Callithrix jacchus: one gene and its partners. The protein of the gene in region 2 binds, or shares a complex with, the protein of the main gene of each other region. Links are inferred from orthologs where the notes say so. Each region holds a gene or a part of one and is shown on either strand. Other genes may lie near its edges.

The links.
Region 1: the proteins of GPSM2 (region 2) and NUMA1 are in contact, whole or in part, in a crystal structure (PDB 6HC2), measured with the Homo sapiens proteins. The link is inferred for Callithrix jacchus from reciprocal best matches to the Homo sapiens genes GPSM2 and NUMA1. Residues at the interface, in NP_001307967.1 of Homo sapiens: Ala28, Leu29, Glu32, Cys35, Lys36, Phe47, Lys59, Thr60, Ser62, Ala63, Ile64, Ser66, Gln67, Asn70, Ala71, Phe73, Asn110, Lys113, Tyr146, His153, Lys157, Pro164, Gln165, Arg203, Gly206, Asn207, Asn210, Tyr213, Leu214, Arg228; in NP_006176.2 of Homo sapiens: Ser1901, Phe1902, Tyr1903, Met1904, Gly1905, Thr1906, Cys1907, Gln1908, Asp1909, Glu1910, Pro1911, Glu1912, Leu1914, Asp1916, Trp1917, Asn1918, Arg1919, Ile1920, Ala1921, Leu1923.
Region 3: the proteins of GPSM2 (region 2) and INSC are in contact, whole or in part, in a crystal structure (PDB 3RO3), measured with the Mus musculus proteins. The link is inferred for Callithrix jacchus from reciprocal best matches to the Homo sapiens genes GPSM2 and INSC. Residues at the interface, in NP_083798.2 of Mus musculus: Asn210, Tyr213, Leu214, Phe218, Arg242, Ser246, Asn247, Asn250, Ile253, Phe254, Tyr265, Gln283, Tyr286, Ser287, Asn290, Thr291, Thr293, Leu294, Arg323, Trp326, Ser327, Asn330; in XP_006507722.1 of Mus musculus: Val72, Asp73, Ser74, Val75, Arg77, Trp78, Met79, Asp81, Leu82, Lys83, Leu84, Met85, Thr86, Glu87.
Region 4: the proteins of GPSM2 (region 2) and FRMPD4 are in contact, whole or in part, in a crystal structure (PDB 4WND), measured with the Homo sapiens proteins. The link is inferred for Callithrix jacchus from reciprocal best matches to the Homo sapiens genes GPSM2 and FRMPD4. Residues at the interface, in NP_001307967.1 of Homo sapiens: Leu25, Ala28, Leu29, Glu32, Asp57, Lys59, Thr60, Ser62, Ala63, Ile64, Ser66, Gln67, Asn70, Phe73, Tyr74, His85, Asp88, Ala92, Gly100, Lys103, Asn107, Asn110, Thr111, Lys113, His128, Arg143, Tyr146, Asn147, Asn150, His153; in NP_055543.2 of Homo sapiens: Gln988, Leu989, Leu990, His991, Ser992, His994, Met995, Glu996, Met997, Glu998, Pro999, Glu1000, Thr1001, Met1002, Glu1003, Thr1004, Lys1005, Ser1006, Val1007, Thr1008, Asp1009, Tyr1010, Phe1011, Ser1012.

The regions. Positions count from the first base shown.
Region 1 is NC_133511.1:68,940,860-68,947,391, forward strand, and holds the end of NUMA1 (nuclear mitotic apparatus protein 1), read left to right. Parts: intron 1-446; coding exon 447-675; intron 676-1,298; coding exon 1,299-1,435; intron 1,436-1,832; coding exon 1,833-2,009; intron 2,010-2,281; coding exon 2,282-2,398; intron 2,399-2,508; coding exon 2,509-2,721; intron 2,722-3,045; coding exon 3,046-3,057; 3' UTR 3,058-3,699; downstream 3,700-6,532. Other genes in the region: IL18BP (interleukin-18-binding protein), read right to left, coding at 4,649-4,732, 4,965-5,112, 5,194-5,280, 5,699-5,765, 5,910-6,116, 6,434-6,461. UniProt on the Homo sapiens protein: Microtubule (MT)-binding protein that plays a role in the formation and maintenance of the spindle poles and the alignement and the segregation of chromosomes during mitotic cell division.
Region 2 is NC_133508.1:146,805,575-146,812,637, reverse strand, and holds the end of GPSM2 (G-protein-signaling modulator 2), read right to left. Parts: exon of another isoform or gene 3,642-7,063; intron 2,984-3,641; coding exon 2,744-2,983; 3' UTR 2,260-2,743; downstream 1-2,259. UniProt on the Homo sapiens protein: Plays an important role in mitotic spindle pole organization via its interaction with NUMA1. Required for cortical dynein-dynactin complex recruitment during metaphase. Plays a role in metaphase spindle orientation.
Region 3 is NC_133511.1:81,125,718-81,133,245, reverse strand, and holds part of INSC (protein inscuteable homolog), read right to left. Parts: intron 3,444-7,528; coding exon 3,272-3,443; intron 2,116-3,271; exon of another isoform or gene 1-2,115. UniProt on the Homo sapiens protein: May function as an adapter linking the Par3 complex to the GPSM1/GPSM2 complex. Involved in spindle orientation during mitosis. May regulate cell proliferation and differentiation in the developing nervous system.
Region 4 is NC_133524.1:12,940,785-12,948,150, forward strand, and holds the end of FRMPD4 (FERM and PDZ domain-containing protein 4), read left to right. Parts: intron 1-902; coding exon of another isoform or gene 903-907; coding exon 908-2,232; 3' UTR 2,233-4,857; downstream 4,858-7,366. UniProt on the Homo sapiens protein: Positive regulator of dendritic spine morphogenesis and density. Required for the maintenance of excitatory synaptic transmission. Binds phosphatidylinositol 4,5-bisphosphate.

The DNA of each region.
Region 1 (6,532 bases), on a different chromosome or scaffold from region 2:
CCTGCTACCAAGAAGTTGGGGAAGTTCTAGAAGGAAGCTTGGACTGAGGGACAGCAGAGGCTGTGGGATAAACCTGACTAGTCAGGAGACATGGGGTCCAGCCCCAGCTCTGGTATTTCCTAGCCGTGTGATTGTGGCTAGTCACTTCATTTCTCTTTGCACTTCACCTCTAAAATGGGCTGATAAACACTCTGCATTCCCTCCCTTAAAGCACTGTGAATAGACTCGATGAAAAAAATGCACAGAAAAGAGCCTTGACAACATCAGCACCACCCTGTGAGGGCTTCTGTCAGTAAGGCCTATATCTTGCAAACAGACACGTTAAGGACCTTTGCAAAGCAGTTGGGAGGATGTGCCATGGAGTCTGGGTGCTTTGGGAGGGAACAGGAAGCTTCTTTACAGTGCCAGAGTCCACCCCACTGCAACAGATTCATTCTCTTTTCCAGAAGCTAGATGTGGAAGAGCCAGACAGCGCTAACTCATCCTTCTATAGCACGCGGTCTGGTCCTGCATCCCAGGCCGGCCTGCGAGCCACCTCCTCTACTCAGTCTCTAGCCCGCTTGGGTTCTCCCGATTATGGCAACTCAGCCCTGCTTAGCCTGCCTGGCTACCGCCCCACCACTCGCAGTTCTGCTCGTCGATCCCAAGCTGGGGTATCCAGTGGGGCCCCTCCAGGTGAGGGGACTACAGGGACTTACTATACCCAAAAATTAGACTGGAAGGTGGATCGTGGCACAGGGAAAAGAGGCAAATTTTTAAAAAATCCAAGGCTAGCCTCCTCGCTACTGCCCAGTAGCCCCCTCCTTCCTGCAGCCCCAAGGGCCTTCCTTACCTGTCCATTTCAGGGCTGGCTGTTTTGGGCACTCTTAGCCAGAGTGAACCAGGGATGCTCACTAAGGGCCTGGGAGTCCCAGCACAATCTTGGGGAGTCCTCTGTACCCTTCTCAGGTGGTGATGGGCTGCTAGAAAGGTCAGGCTGGCCAGACTCTTCCTGGAGGCTCTTGCCCTTTGGGTACCAGGGAGCCCTTGGGAATCAATTCCTTATTTTGTTCCTCTGGGTGTTGGGCACTAAGCCTTAGTGGGTAAGATGTAGTAGCAGCCTCTGTGTGTGGCCTCTTCTGCCCTCTCCAGGGAGAAGGTGGTGAACAAACCCCTAGGATAGAAATAGTCTGTGTGCCTTACTCCTGCACCTGCAGCACTGAATCAGACTGGCTTAAAATTTACGGGATAGGTGACAGCAAAGGCTGGCAAGATGCCAGGGTGAGCAGGTGACCTGCCAACTTCCCTGCCCTCCACAGGAAGAAACAGCTTCTACATGGGCACTTGCCAGGATGAGCCTGAGCAGCTGGACGACTGGAACCGGATTGCAGAGCTGCAGCAGCGCAACCGAGTGTGCCCACCACACTTGAAGACCTCCTATCCCCTGGAGGCCAGGGTGAGCCCTGGGGTCACTGTGCAGGGCCTCCGATCCCTGCCCTCCCTTGAAATCTCACCTGCTGATCTAGCCTGAGCACTAAGGCCCTGGATCCCTGACTGGCTGAGGAGGGGGAGGGTGACCTCATGCTTCCAGGCAGAACAGCCAGCAGGGAGGGCATTCAGGAGTGAAGTCCCTGGGGGTGGGCAAGAGCTCGGAGAGGAATCTGATTAGGACTGCACCGCTTGTAGCCATTCACCCAGGGCGTAGGTTTAAAGTGGAACAAGGGAGGCCTCGTGAGGTAGGAAGGGTCCACCTACCCTAAGTGCCAGGTGAGTGCAGAGTCCTGGGACACCCCCAGGTCCTGCTCCATATCCAAACAGCTACAGTCCACTGACCACCTCTTCAACTAATGCAGCCTTCCCTGAGCCTGGCCACCATCTCAGATGAGGAGATGAAAACTGGCGACCCCCAGGAGACCCTGCGCCGAGCCAGCATGCAGCCAATCCAGATAGCAGAGAGCACTGGCATCACCACCCGACAGCAGCGCAAACGGGTCTCCCTAGAGCCCCACCAGGGCCCTGGCACTCCTGAGGTAGGCACAGTAGCTCCTGGGTGTTGCTCCAGCACTGTGCCCAGGTCAGGTCCAGCTCACCAAGGACTAAAGGGAGCCTTTCCTATCTCCCCCTCTCTCCAAGGGCCTAGTGCATGGATGGGAACTGCTGGGAAGGGAAGCCCTCTGGCTCAGAATTGGGCAGCAGGTTGCACAAGTTGACTTAAAAGGTCCACTCAGCTCTGTGAGAACAAGATGCCTGGCTTCAGATGTGACTCTTGCTACTGTCTGCCTAACTGTCCTCTTCCCCATAGTCTAAGAAGGCCACCAGCTGTTTTCCACGCCCCATGACTCCCCGGGACAGACATGAAGGGCGCAAACAGAGCACTACTGAGGCCCAGAAGAAAGTGGCTCCAGCTTCTACTAAACAGGTGAGGCTGGGGCGGGGGGGAATGAAGCGATGGCCTGGTGGGACCTTGCCGGCAGAGCATCGCACAGCGGGCTGGCCTGGGAAGGCCAGTCTGACAGCCTTTCCTTGCAGGCTGACCGGCGCCAGTCAATGGCCTTCAGCATCCTCAACACGCCCAAGAAGCTAGGGAACAGCCTTCTGCGGCGGGGAACCTCAAAGAAGGCCCTGTCCAAAGCTTCCCCCAACACTCGCAGTGGAACCCGCCGCTCTCCGCGCATTGCTACCACCACAGCTAGTGCTGCCACTGCTGCTGCCATTGCTGCCACCCCTCGAGCCAAGGGCAAGGTAAAGGCACTGGGGAGGGAAGCCCAATGAGAGCATAGACACCCCCCAGACCGCCCCAAGGAGCAGCATCCAAGACAGGGCTACTCTAGGCTGCTGGAGGGTGGTGGGGTAAAAGGTGTCCCTGTCCTAGTAGCTACTCGTTATCAAGGAGAGAAGACAAATGGCCCCATTCGCATGGAGAGCACCCAGAGCTGCTCAGGCATAGCCAACAACTGATAATCCGGGGGCTCACAAAGGATGGGAGCAGGAAGAGGTCTTCCAGGCCAGTGGCTGCAGGCTGGCATCCCAAGTTCTCATCTGGCCATGTGTCTGTGTCTCTTTCAGGCAAAGCACTAAACGGCTAGTACCAGAGAGTGGCCCCACCTGTGTCCCCGATGCTGACCTCACCTGGTCTTCCTTCTACTGTCCCTCTCAGTGCCTTCTCTCAGCTCCCAGGCCAACAGTAGCCAAAACCCTAGAGACAGTAATGTCTGCCTGCACCCTGGCCTGGTCCCTGGACGCCTTCTCAGAGCTGGACCAGGAAGCCTGGAGCATGGACAGTGTGGGTGCTCTCCCTACCTTGCCTCCTTTTTTCTTAGAGCAAAGTCACTTCTCCATCACGACCAGATTTGAGGCTGATGGCTGGGTCCTTGGGCCTAGCCAGTCTTCCTCTCAGCCTCTGGATCTAGAAGGGACCAGAGGAGGAGTAGGCCCTGGTTCCTGCTCTCCCGGTGGCTGGGCCTAGCAGGGGCCCTCAGTCTTGATGTCCAGGACTGGATATGGTGGGAACACCTGCCTGAGGATGCCCTTTTCCAGCACGGATGGGCCCTGTGGCTCAGGTGTGGGGTGGAGGGATAGCCTTCAGTGGCAGCTCACACCCTGCCTTCCCCAGACTTGCACTGGGGTGGGATTTGGAGTGATGGGAAGGTTTTTAAGGGCCAGGGATGGATCTTTTCTAAATGTTATTACTTGTAAATAAAGTCTATTTTTCTCCCTTGATTACTGAGTTGCCTTGATCTAAGTGGGAAAGGGTAGGGGGGAAACCTGGGTTCTTTGGAGCCTACCTTGTCCCTGCTGAGTCTTCCAGACCACCTCCTTCCTCTCATCCCTTTTCCTGGGACCACATCTTTCTTTCCAGGATTCCCACTCTCCATTACTGGCCTCTGCTCCTGGGGAACATGGGCTGTTCTCTCTCTTCTTTTTCAAGGGCCTGTGTTCCCCTGAAGCTAGTTTTGTCTTTCGCTTCTGTGTGGCAGTCCCTCTCTTCCCATACTCCCTCCTGGGACAGGCAAAGTTCCTGGGAGTGAAACTGAAGCCTAAATGAACAGATGTCAGGATACCTCCATTGAATAATCCTTTATGAGGACCCACGTGGGGATAACAGAGATACAGTGTGGATCTGAAGCAGCTGCTGCCCCCATCCCTTCCCTGGAACAGTCCATTAGAGTAAAGTGGGGGGAATACAGCATGAAGACTGAAGTCTGCAGAATAGCCAGAGCTGAAAGCGGGTGACTTCACTGAAGAGGCAGTGTTTCAACCAGGCTTGAAAGTTCCCCTGTTGGGGTGGTGAGGAAGGCGGGACCAAATGAGCAGAGGCATGGGAGTGGGAGCTGTCTGGGAAAAGCAATAGTTGGAGGCCTCCGGAAAGTCACATGGGAAATGTAGGCAGGGCCCTGGAGTGCAAGGCTAAGGCATCAACAGTCGGTTTCAGTGGTTTCTGAGCAGCAGAGCAGTGTGAGGAGCAGGACATTAGGAAGGGTGGAGAGAATGGCAGGAGGAGGAGCATTATAGGGAGGCTGTGATTTCCTAAGTAGACGGGAATGGAGTTTGAATTTGGTGAGAGAAAGAAACCAAAGCAGAGGAGAAGGGGGTGTGCTGCTTGCCCATACAGCCTGCAGGCAGTCAAGGACTGTTCACTCCAGGTAGGTAGATAGGACCCAGGCTCCGGTCAAGGTTGTGCTGCTGCTGGCCCTGGGCTGTGGCTGGAGGGCAGGGCTTCTTGGGTAGGGGGCAAGGTTGTCCTCAGGCCAGCCTAAGGAAATGAAGGCAGATGAGGATCAGGCCAAGGAAAGGAGGGACACATCTCATCACTTTGCCCCAGGCTACACCTCCCCTGTTTTAAGTTCCTTTTTGTCTCCTCAGGCTGTCCTTGAGGAATTCTGGACATTAGTTTAGAGGCTGCTCTGGCAGAGCCCACTCTTTCCTCCCCACATATGGAAACAGAGCTCCTCCTCTTCCTGGAGGCCTCTCCTTAAGCTCCTCACCCAGAGCTGGGCCAGAACGACGTAACGCTGGACAACCTGTTCGGGGTCCACGAGTACACAGGAGAAGTTGGTGCTGTGCAGGGCAGGGGTCAGCTGCTCCAGCACCAAGGTCCTGCTCAGCTGTGTACCTGTGCTCCGACGCTCCCACCTGGAGCAAAAAGGAAAGAAATGTCATGAGGACCACAGAAGGAGGCCTCCTTCCCACCCATCTGGCTGCTGCAACCCTCACCTGGTGCTGCCCTCCCACAGGCCTGGAAGGTGCTCAATGAAGGAACCATTGCCCAGCCAGTAGAGGATGCTGAAGTGGGGGAAGTGGCTGCAGGCAGTACAGGACAAGGTCAGCGTTCCATCTAGGGACACAAGCAGCAGTTAGCCCTCCTGAAGAGCAAGCCCTTTCCCTGGCCTGCTCTGCTGTGCCCTCCCTGCCAGCTCCCCCTAGGTGGGAAGGTGTGTTAAAGGGGAAGTGCAGTTGTCTCCAAGAGGCCCTAGCCCTAAATAGGGAATATGGGGAAGGGTCCTTGGTTCATGTGATGACTCCTCTTCTGAGTCTGTCTCCTCGGGATGACCTTTTCTAGTACCCAGTCTCTGTGACTCTGGAGCCCAGGTGACCGAGGCAGTGCTGGGTGGCTACTGCTCCTATGAGATGGCTAGAGGCCAGTGGGCTCTGGGTGAAGGGGCTGGCCTTGGAGTCCACTGCAATCAAGGCTCTGAGAGGTCCTGTGACCATTACTTACGTCTGAGTTCTCTGTCCTATTTGATAGGGAGCATCTTGGGAGCTGCACCAAGCCCGTACCCATGACCCTGGGTTATGGAGGGAGAATGTGGGGGTTCAGCCCAGCTGGCCCAGTTGGTGGTGCATGGCAGAAGAGGGCTAGTGCTCAGGAGTCAACCCAACCCTGGGAACCTCTGTGCCCACAGCCTACCCCCAACCACTGTGCTCCTTACTCAGTGGCAGTTCCACCTCTGGCCAGGTCACCTCCAATGCTGGACACTGCTTTGCTGCTGGGAACACTGGGGGCTGGGAGGAGCAGGGGTCCTTTGTGCTTCTAGCTGAGGCAGTGGCAGCTGTGGTGTTCTGTGAGACAGGTGTGGCTCTGTCCAGGAGAGTGATGATGTGGGCACACAGGAGCAGGACCCACAAAGGACTGGGGACTGAGGAAAGGACAGTCACAAGTCAGTGGCTGGGCTGCCTGGGAACGCTCAGCATCATGGCTTCTATCTGGAGACAGAGTGGGCTGCCCAGGTAAGGATGTACCTTCAGCCCAAAGATGTCTGGGCTCTAGCCAGGGAATCAGAGCAAAAGAGGGGCCTCTCAGCACCCACCCCTTTATTGAGTACAGAGAAGCTTTGGAATGGAGCCAGAGCCACAGCATCTGCCTTGGGGTGAAGGCTCCGGGTTAGCCTACCGCTCCATTCTGTTCATAGACCTCACCCTACCCTGCCTGCCCATGGGCAGCCCCAAGGCCTACCTGGTATCCACTTCTGTCGCATGGTCATGATGCTGGTAAGCTTGGCTCTCTATCTGTGACAACGTCCTCTTCTCTGGTGAAAGGTGGGGGAGGAGAATC
Region 2 (7,063 bases):
ACAAATGAATTCTGACAGACACCTGTGGTTCAGAATAAATTTGTGAACATCCATGCACATAAAGTAGTCCTCTGGGGACAAGATGTGTTCACACTGTTTGGGGAATATGCCCCCATGGTGAGATCTGTCTTTTGATCTGTGATCTGATTCTGAAAAGTAGTGAATCCCCAGGTGATGGACTGTAACTGTGAGTGGAATTAATGCTGCTTGCAGTTACTGCCTTTTAATCCAAAAACAAAAATTTTTTAAAAATGTGAAGTAAAATTTTACCTTTGTATTCTTTCGTTACAGATATCCATCTGGGGACGAAACCTACTTTGACACCTAGCAAGGCACCATGCAGCTGCTATTGAATGAAGACAGCAATTCAGGAAAGACTTAAATATGAAAGCAAACTGAACACATAAGGCCAGTTTATTACCAGAAAAGACGTAAGGCTTGTCTATTGACTAGGCAATATGTCATTAAAATTAAGGTTTAGAGTGTGAAGCTTTTTTAAAATTTTATTTTTTTCTGAGAGTTTTGTTCTGTCGCCCAGGCTAGAGTGCAGCAGCGCAACCTTGGCTCACTGCAACCTCCATTTCCTGGGTTCAAGCGGTTTTCCTGCCTCAGCCTCCCAAGTAGCTGGGATTTCAGATGTGCGCCACCATGTCTGGCTAATTTTTGTATTTTTAGTAGAGATGGGATTTTGCCATGTTGGCCAGGCTGGTCTTGAACTCCTGACCTCAAGTGATCCACCCTCATCAGCCTCCCAAAGTGTTGCGATTACAGGCATGGGCCACCGTGCCCAGCCTATATAGTGGGAAGCTTTAGGAAAATCAAAACAAGGTAGACAGCTGTTAAAATCAATGTTTAAATGGAATGATGTTGAATATTTACAGGCTGTAAGAACTATATTGTATACATAAAATAAACTTATTTTTACATTGGGGTTTGGTATACTGTGTTACTGAATTTTCTTATAAGAAAAGCCCCATGAAACTTACCTGAGTTTTTAAAATGCTATCCAGGACATCATACCCTAAGAGTATACATGAAACATAATGTGATCCATGTTTCAACTCAGCCCTTAATGTAATTCCAGATTTTGACTTTTTTTTTTTTTTTAAAAAAAAACATTGGCCATTTAGATAAGTAGTTCTGTTTGCCCATCAAAATCACCCGAGTGACTCTGAACAGGGGTCCACATCCCCAGATCCCATCCCAGCTGTGCAAGCAGAGTGGGACAAACTGCCAGCTTGTTCCAGGGGTGGGCTTCTGCAGTCTGATTCAGTATCACTCCAGGCCCTGCTCTGTCCCATTCTCGTCTTTTGCTACAGTTACTCTGTTATCCTCCCCTTCTGAACTGCCTTAAGTATCTGGGATAAGGAAGACAAGGCTTAATGACCACTAAAGTTCTAGCTGACATCTTTCATACTGAATTTCTGTGAGTTGTCATCTGTTTTCTGTTATGTGTTCTAGGTTCTTGATCTAACCATTTTTTTTTTTAAACATGATAACTTAACAAAAGTTTGTTTTATAGCAGTATTATGGAACAGAAGAGACCATTTTAAATGATACATATGTATATATTTTTTAACATATAGCCAAAACATACAAAAGATATGTTTTCTAGAGACAGGGTCTTGCTCTGTCACCAGGCTGGAGTGCACCCTCTACCACCTGGGCGCAAGTGATCTTCCTGCCTCAGCCTCTTAAGTAGTTGGGACTACAGGTGTGTGCTACCATGCCTGATATATATATATATATATATATATATATAATTTTTTTTTTTTTTTTAAAGCGAGAGAGAGTCTAGCTTTCACCCAGGCTGGAGTGCAGTGGCTTGGTCTTGGCTTACTGCAACCTTTGCCTCCCAAGGGTTCAAGCGATTCTCTTGCCTCATCCTCCCAAGTAGCTGGAACTACAGGCGCGTGCCACCAAGCCCTGCTAATTTTTGTATTTTTAATAGATACGGGATTTCACCATGTTGGCCAGGCTGGTCTCAAACTCCTGGCCTCAACTGATTTGCCCATCTCAACCTCCCAAAGTTTTGGGATTATAGGCCTGAGCCACTGCACCTGGCTGCTAATGTATTTTTCATAGAGATGGCAGTCTTACTATGTTGCCCAGGCTGGTCTTGAACTATCCACAAGTGATCCTCCTGCCTCAGCCTTCCAAAGTGCTGGGATTACAGGCATGAGCCACCATGCCTAGCCCAAGAAGTTTACTTAAGAGTTTCTTTATACTGGCTTTGGCCTAAAAAGTACTGAAAATAGATTTTCATGGAGAAAAAAACCTAGCTTTTTAATAAGACTTTTATATACTTTTTTACATTGGTCAAGTACATTATTTTTACTAAACAGCATTGTTTCCCACTACATCCATGGTTGTATATTAAAAAATGCCATTGTCAATTAAGATTTTAAAAACTTCTGTAAGAGGATTAAATTCTAATCTATGATTCATTTAACTTCCTACTTCACAAACACTAGGTAAAGTAATCTAACAAGCTGCCAAAGAACACATCCCAAGTAATAATCACAGATGATGAAGCACCTTACAGGACACCTCCACCTTGAAACACGTGAGTGTCCAGAGAAGTATTAAAGCCTTAATAATAGACTACTGAAGGTTAAATATTTACATTATTCTAAAAATATTGTAAGCTGTATTACAGAGCTATAAATTCTTCTTTTAAGGAAAGAAGTAATAGATTGTTTCCTTACCGTATTCTGAAAGGAAAAAAATATATCCATAGTAACTAGTGGCCTGCTGATTTTTTCCCTGAATTTTTAAACTCCACCAAAGCATTAGTTTGCAAAAAGTCCTTTAGCCCAAAGTCAGTGTCTCTGTTTTGATCTCTTTGTAAAAGAACTCTCTGTTCATCCATTCTTTTTGCCTGAGATCGTAAAATAAGGCTGAAAAAGTCTTCATCTGGTACTGTCGGACCCTTTGTGGTAGCAGGTGGCGGAGTACATCTTTGATCATCTAACCTGGATCCCTAAAAGTTTATGAGAAAGAAATTTAAAGACATACTGTGGGGAAAAAAAGCATGAAGCTATGTAATATCTCTGTCAGTCATAACAAGAAAATGCAGTTGTAAGCTATTTTTTTGGCTTCTCAGAAATTAATCTTTAGACCTCAAACTACATAAAATTCTTTTTAAAAAATGAATTAAGTATAGCTGCTTACATAAGAATAGCTGCTTCATGGGTTTAGTATGTGCATTATATTAAGTCATACTATTTTAATTATAATTGGTCACAAGGAATAATCTGAGACAAGGTCAACTGTATATAACAGTTTTAGGTTCTAAACTAACACGCATCAACAGGGCAACACCAAGTCTTTAGAAATATGTACAAAATCCATGAGGAACCACATTAAAAAAATCACATCTTAGGCTAGGAGACAGCAAATGCCTGCTTCTGTAAATGAGGTGTCATTTTCATTTTCCCATCAATACATTTGTTTATATATTGTCTATATGGCTGCTTTCCTACTAAATGGCAGTTGGGCAGTTGCAAAAGAGACCATATGGCCTGCAAAGCGTAAAATACTTTCTATCTGGCCCTTTACAGAAAAAGTTTGCCTGCCTCTGTCTTAGGCAGTTAAATCTGTTAAGAAATAGCCCAGACTGAATTTTTTTTTTTTTTTAGACGAAGTCTTGCTCTGTCACCAGGCTGGAGTACAGTGGTGCAATCTCGGCTCACTGCAACCTCTGCCTCCTGGGTTCCAGCGATTCTCCTGCCTCAGCCTCCCGAATAGCTGGGACTACAGGTGCCTGCCACCACACCGAGCTAATTTTTTGTATTTTTAGTAGAGACCAGATTTCACTATGTTGGCCAGGATGGTCTTGATCTCCTGACCTGTGACCCATCTGCCTCAGCCTCCCAATGTGTTGGGATTATAGGTGTCAGCCACCATGCCTGGACTGTGATTCTTACATTAGACACGCTACTCATCAAATAAAATGTACAAGCACTAACAAGTATACACCATAGATGCTGGCATTGTAGCTCAAGGATAAGAATAAAAATGTGATAGCTGATATTTGAGTAACCAATACATTGTCGGGGACAGTGACAAGCACATAAATCCCTCAACATTTACTCCCACAACCCTTAGAGGGTACAGTTAACTGCCCTAAGTCAGTGCCGCCTCCACACATACCTGGTTCACTCATTTCTCCTGTCCTAAGTTGATAATTTCAGTGTCCTCCAATTAACCCAACACTTGAACACTTCAGTTCCTAGACTTCTGATTTAGTGTTCTCCTTCACTTCAGCCTTAACCATCTGGCTCTCATGGTTATAGTCTAACCTCTTGTTATCTTCATAGAAATGCCTTTTCCAGTTCTTTGCCCATTCTTTTCTTTGCCCATTTTTGAATCAAGTTGTTTTCTGTTGAGTTTTAGGAGTTCTCTATATATTCTGGATATTAATCCCTTATTGGATATGTGATTTCCAAATATTTTATCTTGGTTGCCTTTTTTGTTTTTTTTTGAGACAGAGTCTTGTTCTGTTGCCAGGTTGGAGTGCAGTGGCACAATCTCAGCTCACTGCCTCAGCCTCCTGAGTAGCTGGGATTACAGGCACATGCCACTACGCCCAGCTATTTTTAGTAGAGATGGGGTTTCACCATGTTGGCCAGGATGGTCTCAAACTCCTGACCTTGTGATCCGCCTGCCTTGGCAGAAGCTGACAGAACTCCTTTCCGTTTTTGGATGGAACAGTTTGAGAAGGCATGGTGTTAGTTCTTTAAATGTTTGATAGAATGCACCAGTAAAGCTATCGGGTCCAGGGCTTTTATCAGGTTTTCTGTTACTGATGTAACCTCCTTCTTATGGTGTATTTTCTGTTTCTTCATCATTTCTTCTTGGTAAGTTTGTATTTCTAGTAATTTGAATCTTCTTTTAAAATTAGTCTGTCTAGCCAAAAGTTTGTCAATTTTGTTAATCTACTTTCAAAAAGTCTTGGCTTCATTGATTTTTTCTATTTTTTTCTGTTCTGCATTTTATTTATCTCTGCTATAATCTTTATTTTTCTTTCCTTCTGCTAGTTTAGGGTTTTGTTCTTTTTTCAGTTCTTTATGTTGTAAAGTTAGATTGTTGACTCAAGATCTTTTGTTACTGTAAACATTTACAGCTATGAATTTTCCCCTTGGCACTGCCTTTGCTGTGTCCCATACGTTTTAGTATATTTTTTTATTTGTCTCTATTTTACAATTTCCATTGTGATGTCTTTCATGGATTAGTCGTTTTAGAGTCTGTTTAATTTCCACAAATTTGTGTTTTCCCCGTTTTCCTTTTGTTACTGCTTATTTTATCCCATGGGGTCAGAGAAGGTACTTTTTATGTTTTAAATCTATTGAGAATTTATGGCCTAACGTGGACTGACCTGAAAATGTTCCATGTGCACTTAAAACGACTGTGCATGCTGCTGTTGTTGGTGGAGTGTGCCATATACACGTGTTAGACCTAGTTGGCATACTCTGTTTTTCAGATCCTCCATTTCCTTATCTTCCGTCTAGTTGTCCTATCCATTAATGAGCACAGGATATTGAATTCCTCAACTGTTTTTGTAGAACTCTCCATTTCTCCCTTCAATTCTGTTAATTTTTGCTTCAGATATCTTGATGATTTGTTATATATCTTTAGTATTCCTTGAATCTACTGAGACCACTGCTACTTTTTACTTCACACCTTTCATTTCTTTATTTTCCTTCTTACAGCCTGGATTCTAAAGTCCATTATTAAAATCACTTCTTGGCACATGTCTTCAACTACCAGTCTCTCCCCTATATCCAGTTCTCCTGGCAAAATATCAGTCTTGGTTTATCTCTCTGCCTCAAGCAGCTGGTTATGACTGGATAAAATACACAGCTTCACTCACCAGTTTTGCTTCCAGTGACTGAGCTTCAGGTGGGGTTTTAAAAAATTTTTTGAGACCGAGTTTCACTCTTGTTGCCCAGGCTGGAGTACAATGGTGCAATCTCAGCTCACCACAGCCTTTGCCTCTCAGGTTCAAGTGGTTCTCCTGCCTCAGCCTCCCGAGTAGCTGGGATTACAGGGGTGCGCCACCATGCCCGGATAATTTTTTTTTTTTTTTTTTTTTTGAGAAGGAGTCTCACTCTGTCACCTGGGCTGGAGAGCAGTGGTGTGATCTCAGCTCACTGCAACCTCCACCTCCCGGGTTTAAGCAATTTTCCTGCCTCAGCCTCCCGAGTAGCTGGGATTACAGGCATGTGCCACCATGCCCGGATATTTTTTTTTCTTTTTTTTTGAGAAGGAGTCTCACTTTGTCACCTGGGCTGGAGAGCAGTGGTATGATCTTGGCTCACTGCAACCTCTGTCTCCCAGGTTCAAGCAATTTTCCTGCCTCAGCCTCCCCAGAAGCTGGGATTACAGGTGCCCACCACTATGCTCAGCTAATTTTTTGTATTTTTAGTAGAGATAGGGTTTCACCATGTTGGCCAGGCTAGTCTTGAAACCTTGGCCTCCCAAAGTGTTGGGATTACAGGCATAAGCCACCACGCCCAGCCTAATTTTGTATTTTTAGAAGAAACAGGTTATCCGTCTGCCTCTGCCTCCCAAAGTGCTGGATTACAGGCGTGAGCCACTGCACTGGGCCTCAGGTGGGTTCTTAGTACAGCACAGTATTCTTAAAACTTTTCCACTAGTTTCAGTTTCTCTAAGTCAACTATTTCTCACTTCCTTTCTCTTCAAATTTATAGTGCTCCCCAACCCCAATCTTAATGAATGACTCTACACTTCTTTGGTGAGAAAATAAAAGCAGCCAGAGAGAATTCCTACTTGCTCCCATCTCCAAATCTGTACTCTGCTTTCTCTGTCACCTACATAAAAACTGTTCTTCAATTATCCCAGACTTACGTACATCACCGGCTCCCTTCTCTACTTGACTATTTCTGTCTGTAAACTCTATTATCACCCAAAATAAGAAAAAAATTTTTTGCCTTATACTTCTTTTCTAGCTAATAGTCCACTGAACTCATTAAAGTTTTCTATATTTACTATATCCTCTTTCACACTTCCTATTTTCTCACCCCACTCAATCCTTTGT
Region 3 (7,528 bases), on a different chromosome or scaffold from region 2:
TTGGTCCCGGGATAAGAGGCATCTGGCAGCAAGAAAGTCCTATACCAAGCTCCTGAATGTCAGGCTCTTAATCTCTAATCCTAGTGGTCCTAGCTCAGCACTAACCAAACTCCCCCACTTACCATCTGTAATTGTACTAAGGACCTTTAAGGAGCAGAGTGACCTCATCCTTCCACCACCCGACACATCCCTCATGGGCTCCACAGAACCTGGAATGCACGCCCATCTCAGGAGGAGGAATAGATTGATTCTATCCATGGTGCTTCTCCCATTTCAGTAGACCTGATGTCTAGCCCTCAGCTCCAACCTGACCATCAATCCAGGTACTTCTGTGGTCCAGACCCTCTCCTACTGATAACATCTCCACAAAACCACAAAAGGCAAGACATACTTCAGAAAAAGAGCTTCAGGAGAGAAAAAAAGTTCAAGAGACAAAATTGAGTTATGTTTTATCCTGGTCCCTAGTTGCCTCCAGACAAACCTATACCTCCAGGTTCTGATGCAAATGCGACCTCCTAGCATCTACCTGTGAATGCACCTTCTGATGCCTACATTTTAGTTTTAGTAATAAAACCCTTTTTCTACCAATAACATTAGTCAAACACCTGCAGTGGGCCTTACACTATGCCATTAAATTCTGAATACCCTCAAAGTAGAAAATGATTGTCCACATTTACAACTAGCTGAGTCTTAGAGAAGCTAGTAGTAGCAACAGCTACCATTTATTGTTTACTCACTGCTGTACATATTTTTACTTCTCCTTACAACAATCCCATTTTTATCACTGTTTTGTAAATGAAGAAATTGAAGATTCATATATTAAGTGACTTGCCCATGGTCTTATGGCCAATAAGTAACTGACTGAGGCTAGAATCAAATCCAGGTCTGCCTGACTCCAAAGTCCCCATTCTTTTATTCTCCAGGTTACTTCTGGTCTCTCAGCCTCTTTGGCTCATTCCCAGTGATGCTTCCAGAGATGTGGGTTTCAGTTCTATCAGGAGGGAAACACTTGCCTCTGGGCAATGTTGCTCCCCACAGCCCAGGTGTGACCATTAAACAACTCAAACTCTTGATCCAACCACCAGGACTGGGACAACAGATTAGCTGAAATATTAAGAACTCTGATTCCCTTTATCCAGTGATTGTCCCATCCTCTGATTTTGGGAAAATCACTGGAGTCTCCAGTCCCTTCCAGGTCACCTCCCTACATCCAAGGTTTTGGGTGAGTCTACAGAGCACGGTGGCCCACTTTCCTGTGAGATTCCTTCTAGGTCCAAACACTCCTCCTAATTCTCATTCAGTTGCTATTGCTGCTGACACAGCAATTATTAACACAACTACCTAAGTGCCTTTTAATTTTGCTGCACATTTATTTGAACTACAGTCTGAGTCACCTGGGATGTGTTAGGAAGATTAAATTGAGGATTCCAGTGACTCATTTATAAATGTTTCCAGGGAATGGCAAGAAGTTGGAGGGCTATTTCCCACCAAAGAGCAGAAGTATGGCTTCCTGCCCGGAATATATCTGCTGAATCTCAGAGTGAACTCTACAATGCATCTTCATCAGGATGAAATAATAGGAAGACTCCTTGGCTCCAGGGAGAAACCCAGCCTGGGAAGTAAAGCAAGAATGAATATATGACAATAGTGAAAGGTCACTTGGACTATATGTACTTTGTTTATTTGATAATGTTTATAAGTAGAGAAATTTTCTATAAAATTTACAAATTTTGTCTCATCTTTAAAAGTCTATGCCTTTCCCACATGGTAACAATCAACTGAAATTTACCAGTGACCATCCCTTTAGACACTGCATGAGTTTTTCAATCTGACACAGGTCTCAAACACCTTTATTCTTCCATGTGGTGCTCTTCAACACATTCATGTTTCTTACTGGGCTCTAGAGGATGTTGAATATGGGACTCTGGCATAAGTGAGTCCTAATGCTGTTGTGTAACCTTGAGAAAGTAACTTAACCTCTCTAGGCTTAGATTTCTTCACCTAGAGAGTATGCAAGGAACTATAGGGTCTCTTGAGCTCCCTCTAGCCAAGACTTTCAACAATGGGCTTCCATGTTTTCTCAATTTTGAATAAATGTGGACATTGGCAAATTGATTTCTCCCAGCCTGACCTGTGAGTGCTACTGCCCCCATGACTAGAATCAGCCATAAAGTCAACATAACTGATGTCTCCTCTGTGCAAAGTACTTGCAGATCTCCAAATTCTAGAGTTAGAAGGACCCTTGAGAGAAACAAGTTGCAATGTCTTGTTTATGTTAGGAAAATTGTGAAGTGGGTTTTACAGTGAGATATGGTAAGGAGTGAGTGGTGGGATCTCACACAGCACTGGCACAGACTTGCTGCCCAGAGCCACTTGAATGCATGAGTCAAAAGCTAGAGTCCAAACCCAGGGTTCTGACTCCTACCTAGCCCAGTGTTATGTTGCCCCTAAGTTCTTGCTATTTCAGATATTCCCAGCCCTGGTATGGTGACTCCAAGAGTTAATCTTACATTTCCTGATGAAATGAAATGAAATTTCAATAATATATAGATATAAAGAGAGTGACAGAGAAATAGAAACACACATCACCACCAGCACTTTTAAAAGAAAGAGGTGGTTCACAAAACAATTCCCTGGGGATTGTTATCCAGACCAGCCCTTTCAGTTTCTATAGCTTAGCAAAGGAAAGCTAAGAAAAGAGCATATTTTAAATACAGAGCTATGATTCTCCTGCTAGCAGTGCATATGTTTGAATAGGTGAACCTAGAAGAGTCAGCACTTTCACGGCCCCATGATGAGAGACCAATGGTGTGATTTTCAGGAAGCAGGTTGTGGTGAGCTAGTGCTCTCTGAGAAACCATTTGCCCCAGTCATTACTGTGATAGTCACTGGGTACAAGGATTGAGAATTTAGGAAAAATGCCTATCAGAGTCTCTTTATCCAAGTATCTGAACCTCAAAATTTGAGGCTCCATTCCTTTCTGGGGCTTGTCCTGGTCTCCCTTCTGAAATGCCAATTAATCCCAAACTGACAATAATTCAACTTGCTTCTCAGAGGGCTGCATGCATTTTAATAAGAAACTCTTGACAATAGAGGTCTTCAAAGCCTAATTCTGATCCCTTAATGGTGGGATTTCAGCAAATGTGATCATCTATACAGGAGATACCTGGGGTGCAACGAGTGGCAGATTGGAAGGCCTTCCTATCTATTCCTGAAGACAACTGTCCCAATGCCCTCTCTCCTAGTGGTCCCACTGCCCAGGGTGACTCACTGATGAGGGCTGTCACGATCTCCTCCATGCTCTCCAGGAAGCTACTGAGGTGCTGGGTGACAGGCAGGTGTGGGGAGGTGACCTGGGCCACCACAGCCGCAGCCTCAGCCCGTGTGGCCTCTGGGTGGCTGTCGTCGGTCAGGATGTTGGCCAAGCACAGAATGCCATCCACCTGCAGATGGAGAGAGGGAGCTTCCCTGTGAACCCTAGGAAGACACCACTGCCCATGACATTAATGAGACAGATTCAGGCCCCCTCCATGTAAGCCAGCTCTGCCTTCCCAGAACAGCCCAGGACTACATGTAGAGCCAGGGACAATCCAGTGACAAGGCCCTCAGAATGACTCAAATTCTGGCACCTGGAGGCCTCTTCTTTGATTCAAGCAGAGATCAGTAAACTTCCATGGGTCTTCTAAATAGCAGACATAAAGTCCTGTGTCCAGAGACAGGGCCCTGGTGATACCACAGCAAATTGCCACAGAAAGAACAGTCACTTAGAAATCTCACATCCCCAAGCTCCAATTTTAGACCCCTCTTCTTTGCTCTGTGACTTAGCCTCTCTGATATTCTATTTCCTCACCCTTCAACAGGGTATTGGGGGATTTAAGAGATAAAGCAGGCAATGCCTGATCCAGAAGAGATGCTCAAGAAATATTGGCTCCTTCCTCCCTTCCTCTGATTTAGCAACAGGATGAGCTCAGGGTTCTCTTCCCCATCTTGTCCTCCACCATCCATAGAAATGGGGCTGCTTCCTTGGGGGCCTTGCTTTCTGTGCCCAACCAGTGAGAAGCAAACCTGAAACTGATGGGACATGAATTCCAGATAAGAACATGTTTTCAAGCTCTGCCCGAGTCAGACCTGCTCTTGGCATGATAACAGCTGCTGCTGAGCACGTGCTTACAGTATGCCAGGTACTGCTCTATGTAGAGTGAACATGATGTTATACAATCTATTCCTTACAATAACCCTTTGAAGTCAGTATTATCTCAATTTTACAGACAAGAAAGCTGAGACACAGAAACTTTCATAGACTTGCCCCAGATCAAGAACTTTAAAAGTAGTTGGTTTGGCATTTGAACACAATGGTCTGGTGCCAAAGCCCAGGTTTTGAACAGAATATTATCCTGCCTACTAAGAAGTGGCACCTGAGCTCAGACTTCAGCCTCCATCAGGGTCAGTATACAAGACTTGTTAGAGAAAAAGAAGGCAGGAGCTTGTCACGGTTAGCTCCGCCGTGCTATTGCAGACCCTCAGATGCCCTAGACAACAGCCTGCCTGGGGACCCTGCTACCAAGCACCAAGTCCTTCTCAGGTCAGGAGTAGGAGGTAGGGGATGAGGCGGGGGAAGAACAGGAGAGGTGGGGGGAGGTGCAGCCCATGCTCATTCCCTACACCTGCCACAGACCCGAGGCTTCTGTCCCTACATCTTCCTGACACTTAGCTCCAGTGGGCTTCCAGAGGTCTGCGTTTCGTTTGACTAATTACCACCACTGAGTTCTGTGCCTCCCTTAAATGGCTCTTGGGAGCTGTAAGGTCCATTAGCTGTGAAAGCCTTTGGCAATCTCAGACTCAAAGGAGACAAATGTGGAAACAGGAGCCCAGGGAACTGTCCGCAATAAAACTCACCTGGATGTGCTTAATAAAAGGGAACAAACAGCAGCCAGGCAGTCCCTGGCAGAACTGGACTCATGCCAGGTGTTTAACTAACAGGCCCTCAGAGGGGGGCCTCATTTGGGCCTGCAAAAGGGAAGGGAAGCGGGGGCTAGAAGCAGGAAGCGGCCCTATTGCCAACATAAGAAACCTCTTGCCCCATCCGGCCTTCATCCCTTTCCTTCTTCTAGCACAGATAAAGCTGATTGCTAAGAAGCTATAGGGTTGTTAGTGGGGAAATGTCTCAATCAATCCCATCTCCTTAATCTCAACATGGTTGCAGATGCTATCCTAGTCCCCAGCTCAGACATGAATACCAGTCAGACCCAAACGAGTAACCTTCCCTAGTCCCCAACACATACTTGGAGATAGGCCAATCTAAACACACCAGAGAGACAAAGGAGTTGTTGGTCCCCAGGGCCTGCTGCCACCCAAGGCCTGGATACTAGGCCTGCTCCCTAGTCCAGCCTGCTGCTCTGAAATCCCATTGAATAAAACATTCCTGACATATACTGCATGCCAAGCCTTGTGCTGGAGCAAAGGTAAACCAGGGAACAGTGTTCCCTGCAGTGGGGGAAGATGACTCACATCTACAAATAACAAATGAGGATGCTCTACAGAGGGGCCTCCTGGAAGCTACTCTGACTTAATGCCCATGCTTCAGGTGGGAGAGGTGGCCCTCTTTGGGGCTCCCATGCCCAAGCACCTTTGCTATTGTTGTAGCATTTATCACACCAACAAGCCGTTTCTCCAAGTGAGGTCTGTGGACCAGCTGCATCAAATTCAGGGAGAGTTTCTTAAGAGCAAGTTAATGTACCCCACCCAGACCTAGTCTGCCAGAATTGCCAGGGACACCTGAGAATCTGCTTTTTAACGGCTCCACAGCTGACTTTTATGTGCCAGCAATTCGGAAAAGCACTACTATAGTATGATTCTCTGCTCCTTTGTCTGTCTGCTCTCTTGTTCTCCTGCCATCTCTGCAAGCCTGGGGACCACAGCTTGTTAACTCTTGGCTGCTTCAGGTCTGGTATGTAGTAGGCTTTCCGTAAGTAGAAAATAAATACAAGAAAGTAAAATTTGACCTAATACTTAAGGACACACTTCAGACAAGCAAAGCTAAAGGAATAGCACTGCAGATGGAGGAGCTATTGTGAGCAAAGGCAGTTATAGAAAAAGACAGCATTGGAGAAACAGCCAGCATGAGAACATAAATCAATTCTTGACCCCAGAAAAGTGACCCCATCCTGATGTAAACCCGATTCCTTCACTGTCCTTTGGTTTCCAGAGGATCTGTGGAGTTCTGTCTATACAATTGCCAATTTCCCATTGTCTTGCTTTCCTTGCAATTTGTTTTATATGCTTCAGATCTCTTTTGGTAACTTATTAATTATCCCTTCAAAAGAGATAGATAGATGATAGATAGATAGATAGATAGATAGATAGATAGATAGATAGATAGATAGACATAATGATTAAGATAATGAATAATGAATGATAGATAATGAATAAATTATAACAAATAATAAAATGAACGTCTGTATGTGTAGATGTATATGCCTAATATCCAGAAATTCTAAGAAATAAAATCAAGAAAGTCCCCTACACACCTTTCTTGATCTCATACCTCTGATTTCTCCTGTTGCATGGGCTGTTACTCTGAGTTTTATGCATATTATTCCCTTGTTTTCCTGAGAGGTTTATTGCACATATCCACTGTTAGTTTTACAAGATTTGTACTTGACATAAATGGTATCATGTTGAATACAGCAATTTACTTTTCTCTCCAGTCAGCATTTGTTTATGAACCTCTTCTCGTTGTTCCATGTGGCTATGATCCATTTATTTTCACTGTTGTATGGTATTTGATTGTATAAATCAATTTCAATTCATTTATGCATTCTCCCATCGATGGGTGTTTGAGTGGCTTCCCAGTTTTTGCTATAATGGACAGTGTTGCTATAAATGTTCTTCTAAATGCCTTCTAGTGAACATGTGCCAGTTTCTTCAGAGGTCCCAATATAGGAGTGGAATTCCTAGGGCCTAGTGTTTACACATCTTTAGCTTTATTGGTATTGCCAAATTGTTGTGCAACATGGTAGTAGTAATTCTTACTCCCACCAGCAATACATAATCACACTTAACACCAGATTCTTGCCAATATTTGATATCAGCAGATTTTTACATTTTTTGCCAATTTTATAGGTATAAAAATTTTATTTTAACCTGCATGTCTCCACTTAGTAATGAGGTTGAGAGACTTTTAATATCATTATTTTGTTTTGATTTGGTTTGTTTTGGCTTTTGTTTTTTGCAGGTTGGATCTTCTCTGCTATGAATTGTCTGTTTGTATGTTTTGCTCACTTTACTAGTAAAGCGTCTTTTCATAGGGACCAAATTTTCCTAGTGTCTGGTTCTGACGCTGCTGACCAGCCACCTGGTCTGCTGCCAGCAAGTTGATCTTCATATTCATTACCATCTCTCTTGCACAGCCCAGCTCACCACAGAAGGAGACTACTCAAGTGCGCCACATCACTGGGGTCTGGGCTTCCCAGCACCTGAGGCAATTCCTATAGAGTCAGAATATGCACAGACATTAGAGTTAGGCCTA
Region 4 (7,366 bases), on a different chromosome or scaffold from region 2:
GTCAGGAAGATTTTGAGGTTATGCCTGATGAGCTGCTTTACTTTCCCCAAAATAATAAAGTGTAAACACACGTAGAAACAAGAACACATCCACCTGCTCTATCCCACCTTCACCATCCCACCACTAAATGGCACGCATTCCCCTCATTGATCCACTTGGCTGGCCATCGCATGGCAAAAACAGATACTCTTTCATACTTTCGTGTTCCAACTGCATCTTTACCTCTAAACTAATGAAATCACACTATTTAATCCTTCATGGTTTATAACGAACTTTCACCTGAGTTACCTCTTGCTTGTCACAAAAATTTTGTGAGATGGGAATTACTTGCTTCACATCACAGCTTTTCTTAAGGAAAAAAATTGAGCAACTGGCCCAGTGTCTTAACTTCATACCTTGTACCAGGCAAACCTCATACTCCCTCCTCTTTAAAAGATTTGTTTATTTCATTTGCATTAATTAGCCCACTTCTTTAAAAAGGAGAAAGTAACTAATGCCAGGTTTAGCCTAATTCCCTGGAAATGAAACTTGATATCTTCAATATATTAGAATAATCTATACATAGGATCTGTGTTTTCTGTGTCTAAATTTTCAAAGGTAGATACTGGGAGCAAGGCAATTCATGAAATAACTGTCTCCTTGAAAATGTTTGGAACTTCTAGACAATTCCAAATGAATCATCAGTCCAGAAATAACAGATTCCAGTATTTTCTTGATATTCATTGAAATGGAAATTTGCTAGGAGGTATCAAGAGGCAATCTTTGGAAAGCGGGGTGACCTTGGCATATGGCAGCCCTTCCAGACTACATCCTTGGGAATGACAGACATCATGTAGAGATGTAGTAAAAATGGCCTCACAGGAGATGCTTAATTATTCTCTCTGTTTTTCTACTACCCCTAGTGTAGCTTTGACAGAGCCTGGGAAGGAGAGACGAGGAGGCATGCCTTCAGCTTGGTCTCAACATCCTGAAGCTGATCCCATCCTGCTACCATCAAATATTCACTCGGAATCCAAGGTGCCAATTCCAAATCAAGACCCTAATGATTTCTCCCAAGCAAATCAGGCATACGGAGAGGCTGTGAGCTGGCGGCCACCGGATCTGAGAGGGGGGAGCCTCAGGACACCCCCCAGCCAGAAGGCTCTAAGACATAGCAGCAGTATCCTCTCCGGATCTGTCGATTTGGAGACCTTCCGAGAAAGAACCAAGGGTGCAGTCAGCTTAAAGTGTCCAGGCATCACAGAAGCACAGGAGGCCAGTTCTGAAAGGCGAGCAGAACTCCCCCTGGGGAGGAAGCTCACCAAAAGTTTTTCCCAAAGCTCGATGCACTTGAGCTCTGAGGGGAGGTTTCACAAAAGGTCCCCGGTGGCTCTTAAAGACTCAAAGCTGTATAGGACATTACCCTTGCGGAAGCTGGAGGGCAGCAATTGGAGATGTCGGGGACCCTTCAGCTATTGCTTCCTGAACCGAGGGCAGGATGAAGATGGCGAGGAGGAGGAAGAGAGGGGAGAGGCCACCGTCCAGGTCTCTTGCCTCTATAGACCACGGATGACTCAAGCCATGCCAGAAACAAGCAGCCCACAAGTGGCTGCAGGGATTCAGAAGCAAGGAGGGGAGCTATCCAGAGGGTCAGTGCTGAAGGTCTGGGCAGAAGACCTGAGTGGCCCAGATGACTTGGACTTCAGCAACCTGGCTTTTGATGCCCGGATTGCAAGAATAAATGCCCTAAAGGAGAGCACATATGCAATGCCTGATGGGTTCCTTGCAGCCCAAAATGATGCCAATGAGCTGCTCTGTCTCGTCAGGGCAACCAAGGAGAAGAGAGAGGAGTCACGCCCTGAAGCGTACGACCTTACACTTTCTCAGTACAAGCAACTGTTATCCATCGAGTCCAGACAGTTGGGAAGTGCCTGTAGGAAAATGGCGATGGCCGAGAAAAGCCCGGAGGAGATGCTCCTAGCTATGACTTCCAGCTTTCAAGTGCTCTGTTGCCTAACGGAAGCTTGCATGCGATTAGTTAAAGTCGTGAACTCAGAAACACAGCGGCAGGAAATTGTAGGGAAGATCGATGAAGTGGTCATAAATTACATTTGTCTCCTGAAAGCTGCTGAAGCAGCCACTGGAAAGAACCCTGGGGACCCTAATGTTGGACTCTCGGCGCGACATTCAACCACCATGGCCGCTCTCGTAAGCACACTGACACGTTCTCTCAAGAGGCTTTTAAACAAATAAATATGGAAGTCACATCATAATCTACCTTTGCAAAGCCATACATGAACTTTTATTTACTTTGTGTGTATGATGAACAGATGTCTCCTTTCTTCTCTCTGTATATTTGTTATTTTATATAAAATAGGAGATAAAAGTCACATTGATGAAATGTTGAAATGTACTAATCAGATGTATTCTGTTTATATTATACATATATATACACGTAAAAGAAATATCCAAGAAAGTGATGACATTTGGCTATTTTTCATATAGTTAAAACCCCACATACATGACGTGAAATTTTAAATTCTACCATGTTAGAGCGAAACAATGAATCCTATCCCCTTTCTTTCCAAGTAAATATTTGGAGACCATATCATTCATATTTACAAGTAAAACACACAAAAAAATAAAAGAAATCACAATGTATATAAAACAGTACTTATGTTTTAAAATTATGATTTTTAAGCATTGGAAATAGCAAAAAGATTTAAAATTCAAGAAGCTATTAATTACTAGAGAATATATCTGTAATAAATTAATTTTTTGCTCATAGTATTTGGTTACTGGATGCTTTCTTCCAAAAATCCCACATATTTAATTTGAGTTTTTGCTATCTGGGCTACAAATGGGTGGGGCGTATTCTACTGTGTCAGCACAAATGCTCTTCACAGTGTTTCCAGCATTTAAAAAACTTCCCAGGGAGAAGAACAGAGGGAATGATGGGCAGTTTCCTAGGTAACACCTAGAGTTATACAATATCTCATTACATAAAACGTATGGAATAATACCAAAATTAATTATTTGATGGAGAGATCTGCTTTGACTAAATGACTAAAATCTCCAAACCAAAGATACTATCTTCCCCTCACCCCAACTCAACTATGGAACTTAAAATTCCCTTTAGAGTGGTGGGACATTGAGTAAAGTATCTGCAAACTTACAAAAAGGAACATTTAATGATCATCAAAATTAAGTACAGATTCAGCAGTGTAGACGAGACCATACCATAAACGAGCACCTATGAGTCTCATCTCAGATCACAGCTCTCAGCATAGGGCTTCATGCATCACCACCTGTACAGAGGCTAAGGCTGCCAATCAAATTTGGAATTATATCCTGGTACTGGGACAAAATCTCAAATATTGTATGTTCCAGAAAATCAGGGAGAGATGGCTACTGTAATCATGGGAGCCATGAGTAAATAAATAGTAAATATTAAATACTGAATCTGGATTGGCTGATAAAAATATGAAATCTGGAAAAAAGAAATGAAAGTGGTATATTTGACCAGTTCAAATGAAACCAATGGAATGCAAAGAATTTTCCAGGTCTGTCATGTCTCTAAAAGTACCCTGCAGTCATAAAATAAAATCGACATGTATATACGAATTTCCTGGGTCATTCAGTGCTCAAGTTACATGCACTCTTACATAGATAGGTGGCTCCTTAAGATGATGACGGGAGTACACCAGATGCAAATATTTTTGCTTTTATAGCCTACTGAGGAGGAGGCCTAACACAGTCCACAATTGCAATCTCTCTCTAGTCAGCCATTCCACAGAGACAACAACAAACCCACACGTGGTTATGGATGGCAGCGAAGGAAAGGAGTTTAGGGTGTGTTATTATAAATAATGTTTAACTAAATAATAAAACATTATTTCATTACAATTATAAATATTGGTGTTTTGATATTGAGAGATATTAGTGGTGTTTACTGTGGAAAATCTTAGTAAATATCATTCTGTGTACTAAAATCCTAACCTATTAATAGGATGTGTGCCCTATGTCAGACAGTGTGCTAAGCATATTAACTATATTATCTCATTTAATCGTCACAACAGTCTGCTGGTTTGGACACTATCCTTTATTCTCTCTGGAGGCAATATGGTTGCATTGCTATGGATATGGAGTTTGGGGTCAGAAACATCTTGATTTAAATTTTGACTCTGCCATTTTCTAGCCCTTTCATGTTGGGAAAGCTACTTTTTCTAAATCTCAATTTCCTCATAATAAAATGAAAATCAGTTATAAGATCGATTTCCATAGGGTTTTCATGGGTTTTGAGTAAAAATGTGTATGTAAAGTTCTTATCACAATACCTGGCAGAGAGTAAGTATTCAACTAATGTTAGCTATTATCATCATAATCGTTGTGTTAAATATATTGCCCAAAATATGTGGGGGTATGTTTGTTTTGTATGCATATTGTATCCTGACTGTGTGCAGAACACATTATGTGGATTGCATATATGTAAAAGAAGTGTACAAGGAAATGACCATCCTTGTTCAAGTCACATATCTAGTTAGAACAACTTCCCAGTCCATTACGAGTTCTTTGAGAAGCCTCAGGGAAGTAGCTCTGGGTCTTTCTAATCAACCTCCCATTACTGCGCCAGTAAGTTTCTGTTTCTTATAAATAAACTTTGCTATTCAGAAAACCTCAAGGGGCCCCCACATTCACTAAGCATGGGGCTCCCAACTGGGGTCCAGGTCCATAGAGTGTAGGAAGAACATATTAGAACAATATCTGTGCTTATTTTTATCTAGCTTTTTTATGTTTGTGTATGTTTTATAATGGCATAATAGTACAATGGTACATGTACATAATTTTAAATAAATAAATAAATGAATGAATGAATAAGCATATGCCTGGTGCATGCATGCAACAATATTGCAGGCAGGGTTGCATTCACTGAAGTCTGGAGGGCACTGAACTAGAGAATAAACCTTCCTTACACTCACGGTTCTTTACATTTAGTCCCCAGTCTACTTTTCCAAGTTGATCTCCTACCATTTTTGTTACTCTTCTCTCAGAAATCTTTCAAACATCAGGTACCGATTCATGTCTAGTCTTCTTTTCTGTATCACCTCCTCTCACACTGTATAATTTAGAAGCAAGTCCCAGGCATCATAGTGCTTAGCCCATGAATATTTCAGTAAGAATATCCTGCGGGAATTTTTAAACATAACCACAATGACGTTTTGGCATTTTAAAACTTGGGAGTTCCTCAGTATTATAAAATAAACATTACAGAAATAAATGATGGAGAAAGTGAAACTCGCCTATAAACCCAACCTCCAAAGAAGCCATTGTCCACAATACTTTGTTTCTTTGTTTCATCTTTCACTGTATTATACAGTTATTAGTATTTTATTTGTTTATGAGCTTTGCTTTTGGCTCAGGGAGTTGTTCTGACCACAGTTGCCCTTGTACCTGAGTGTCAGTGCCAGCATATTTCACGTAAGTGGATTGCTCAGAAGGGATATGATTGATGTGGGAAGACAGTGCTCAGATCAACAACCACATAGCATTAGCTTTGAGAAAAAAAATCCAAAAACGAATGTAACTGCTCAGATATTAACACAGATCCCACTGACCTTAAGGTCAGCAGAAATGAGTCTAATCACAAATTACTTTCCAGAAAAGAAAGCCTGAAATCACTAGCTATAGCAACACTACAATGGCTCAATTCCTTTGGCTATAAAATTTATCTTTCATTATGATTTATCTTAGGAAAGACAATCTTCATCTGTTTGTGTTCTGCTTTTATATATTTCTAAATGCCTGTCATTAAACTATCTGAATGTTACTTCCGAGTGACTCAGGACAGAGCTCTAATTTATCCTGCCTGAATTATCCTTGATTTGGCAGTGGAGGCGGGGCTGTTTTTCCCTTTTTACTGGTTATCACCCCTCAAAATTGTGTGGGATTTGAAATTGAAAACAAATCACCTATGTTCAAATTATTCCTTATCTCTTCCAAACATTTAGAAACCTTCCTGGGGATCAAAGTACATTAATATTTCAGGGTACAGTGGTGTGTGCCTGTAATCCCAGGTACTTGGGAGGTTGAGGCAGAGGGATTGCTTTAGTCTGGGAGTTTGAGACCAGCCTGGGCGACACAGACCTCGTTTCAAACAAAACCAAACCAAAAACAAAAAGTAAAAAAAAAAAAAAAAAGACAAAAAATAGAAGGGAAAAAAAATCCATGAATATTACATTGTCTCTAACCCGATTTTGTCTTTGCTTTGACAGTGGTCAATTTTGATTTGTATAGACAGCGCAGTGGGGTAGGGGGGTGCATGCACACGCGCACACACGCCTGTGGGTATGTGATACTAGCTATCAGTTTGGCTTTATAGATTTCAGTATTAACTCCCCCTCTACCAATGCAAAAACTGTGAAAAACAAATTTGTATGAAACATCCCAAATCTTCTTTTAAAGTCAGATTGCAGGAATAGCTTCTCAGCTTTGACAGATCAAAGACTAACAGTCTCACCTTTTGAACTGAATTTTTTGTTTTGCTTTATTTGGTTTTGAGACTGACTCTCACTCTCCCGGGCTGGAGTGCAGTGGCATAAACTCGGCTCACTACAACCTCCACCTCCCGGGTTCTAGCGATTCTCCTGCCTCAGCCTCCTGAGTAGCTGGGCCTACAGGCGTGCACCACCACACCCAGCTAATTTTGTATTTTTAGCCCAGACAGGGTTTCGCCATCTTGGCTAGGCTGGTCTTGATCTCCTGACCTCGTAATCCGCCTGCCTCGGCCTCCCAAAGTGCTGGGATTACAGGTGTGAGCGACCGTGCCCGGCCTCCACTGAATTTTTATTCATAACCATCTGAATATCATTAAATTATGAACTTTTTATTTATTCCACCTACACCCCGGCCTATGCATCTCACTTTTTAATTTCGAAGTCTATACATAGGAAATCCACAGAAGAACAATCTGTCTTTATCCAATATTTGTTGCTACACAAAATAATGGAATGGCTTAAATCCTATATTGCAGAAAGAGATAATCAAATATCCAAAGTAACTTACTGTACCATCTGACTTCAAATTAACCCGCTTCCTTCCGCGAAATTGTCTATATCACTGCATCTCAATTTTCTGTAACACATTAATTTCAGAGCACTGGGTTTTGGGGTTTTTGTTTGGGGTTACTTTTTCATTCTCTGTGTTAATCTGCATTTTCTACTCTAAAGTCCGGACCAAAATTCTGTGCCATTTGTGGCATCATTCACTACCATAGGCAGAATTCACTTTGGTAGTGGATGTATGCGGGATTGGTGGAATTGAGCTCTCTTGGTAACCTCCAGCCATGTATTATTTCTGCTGTTTTCATTTTGATTAGTTTCCATTGCCT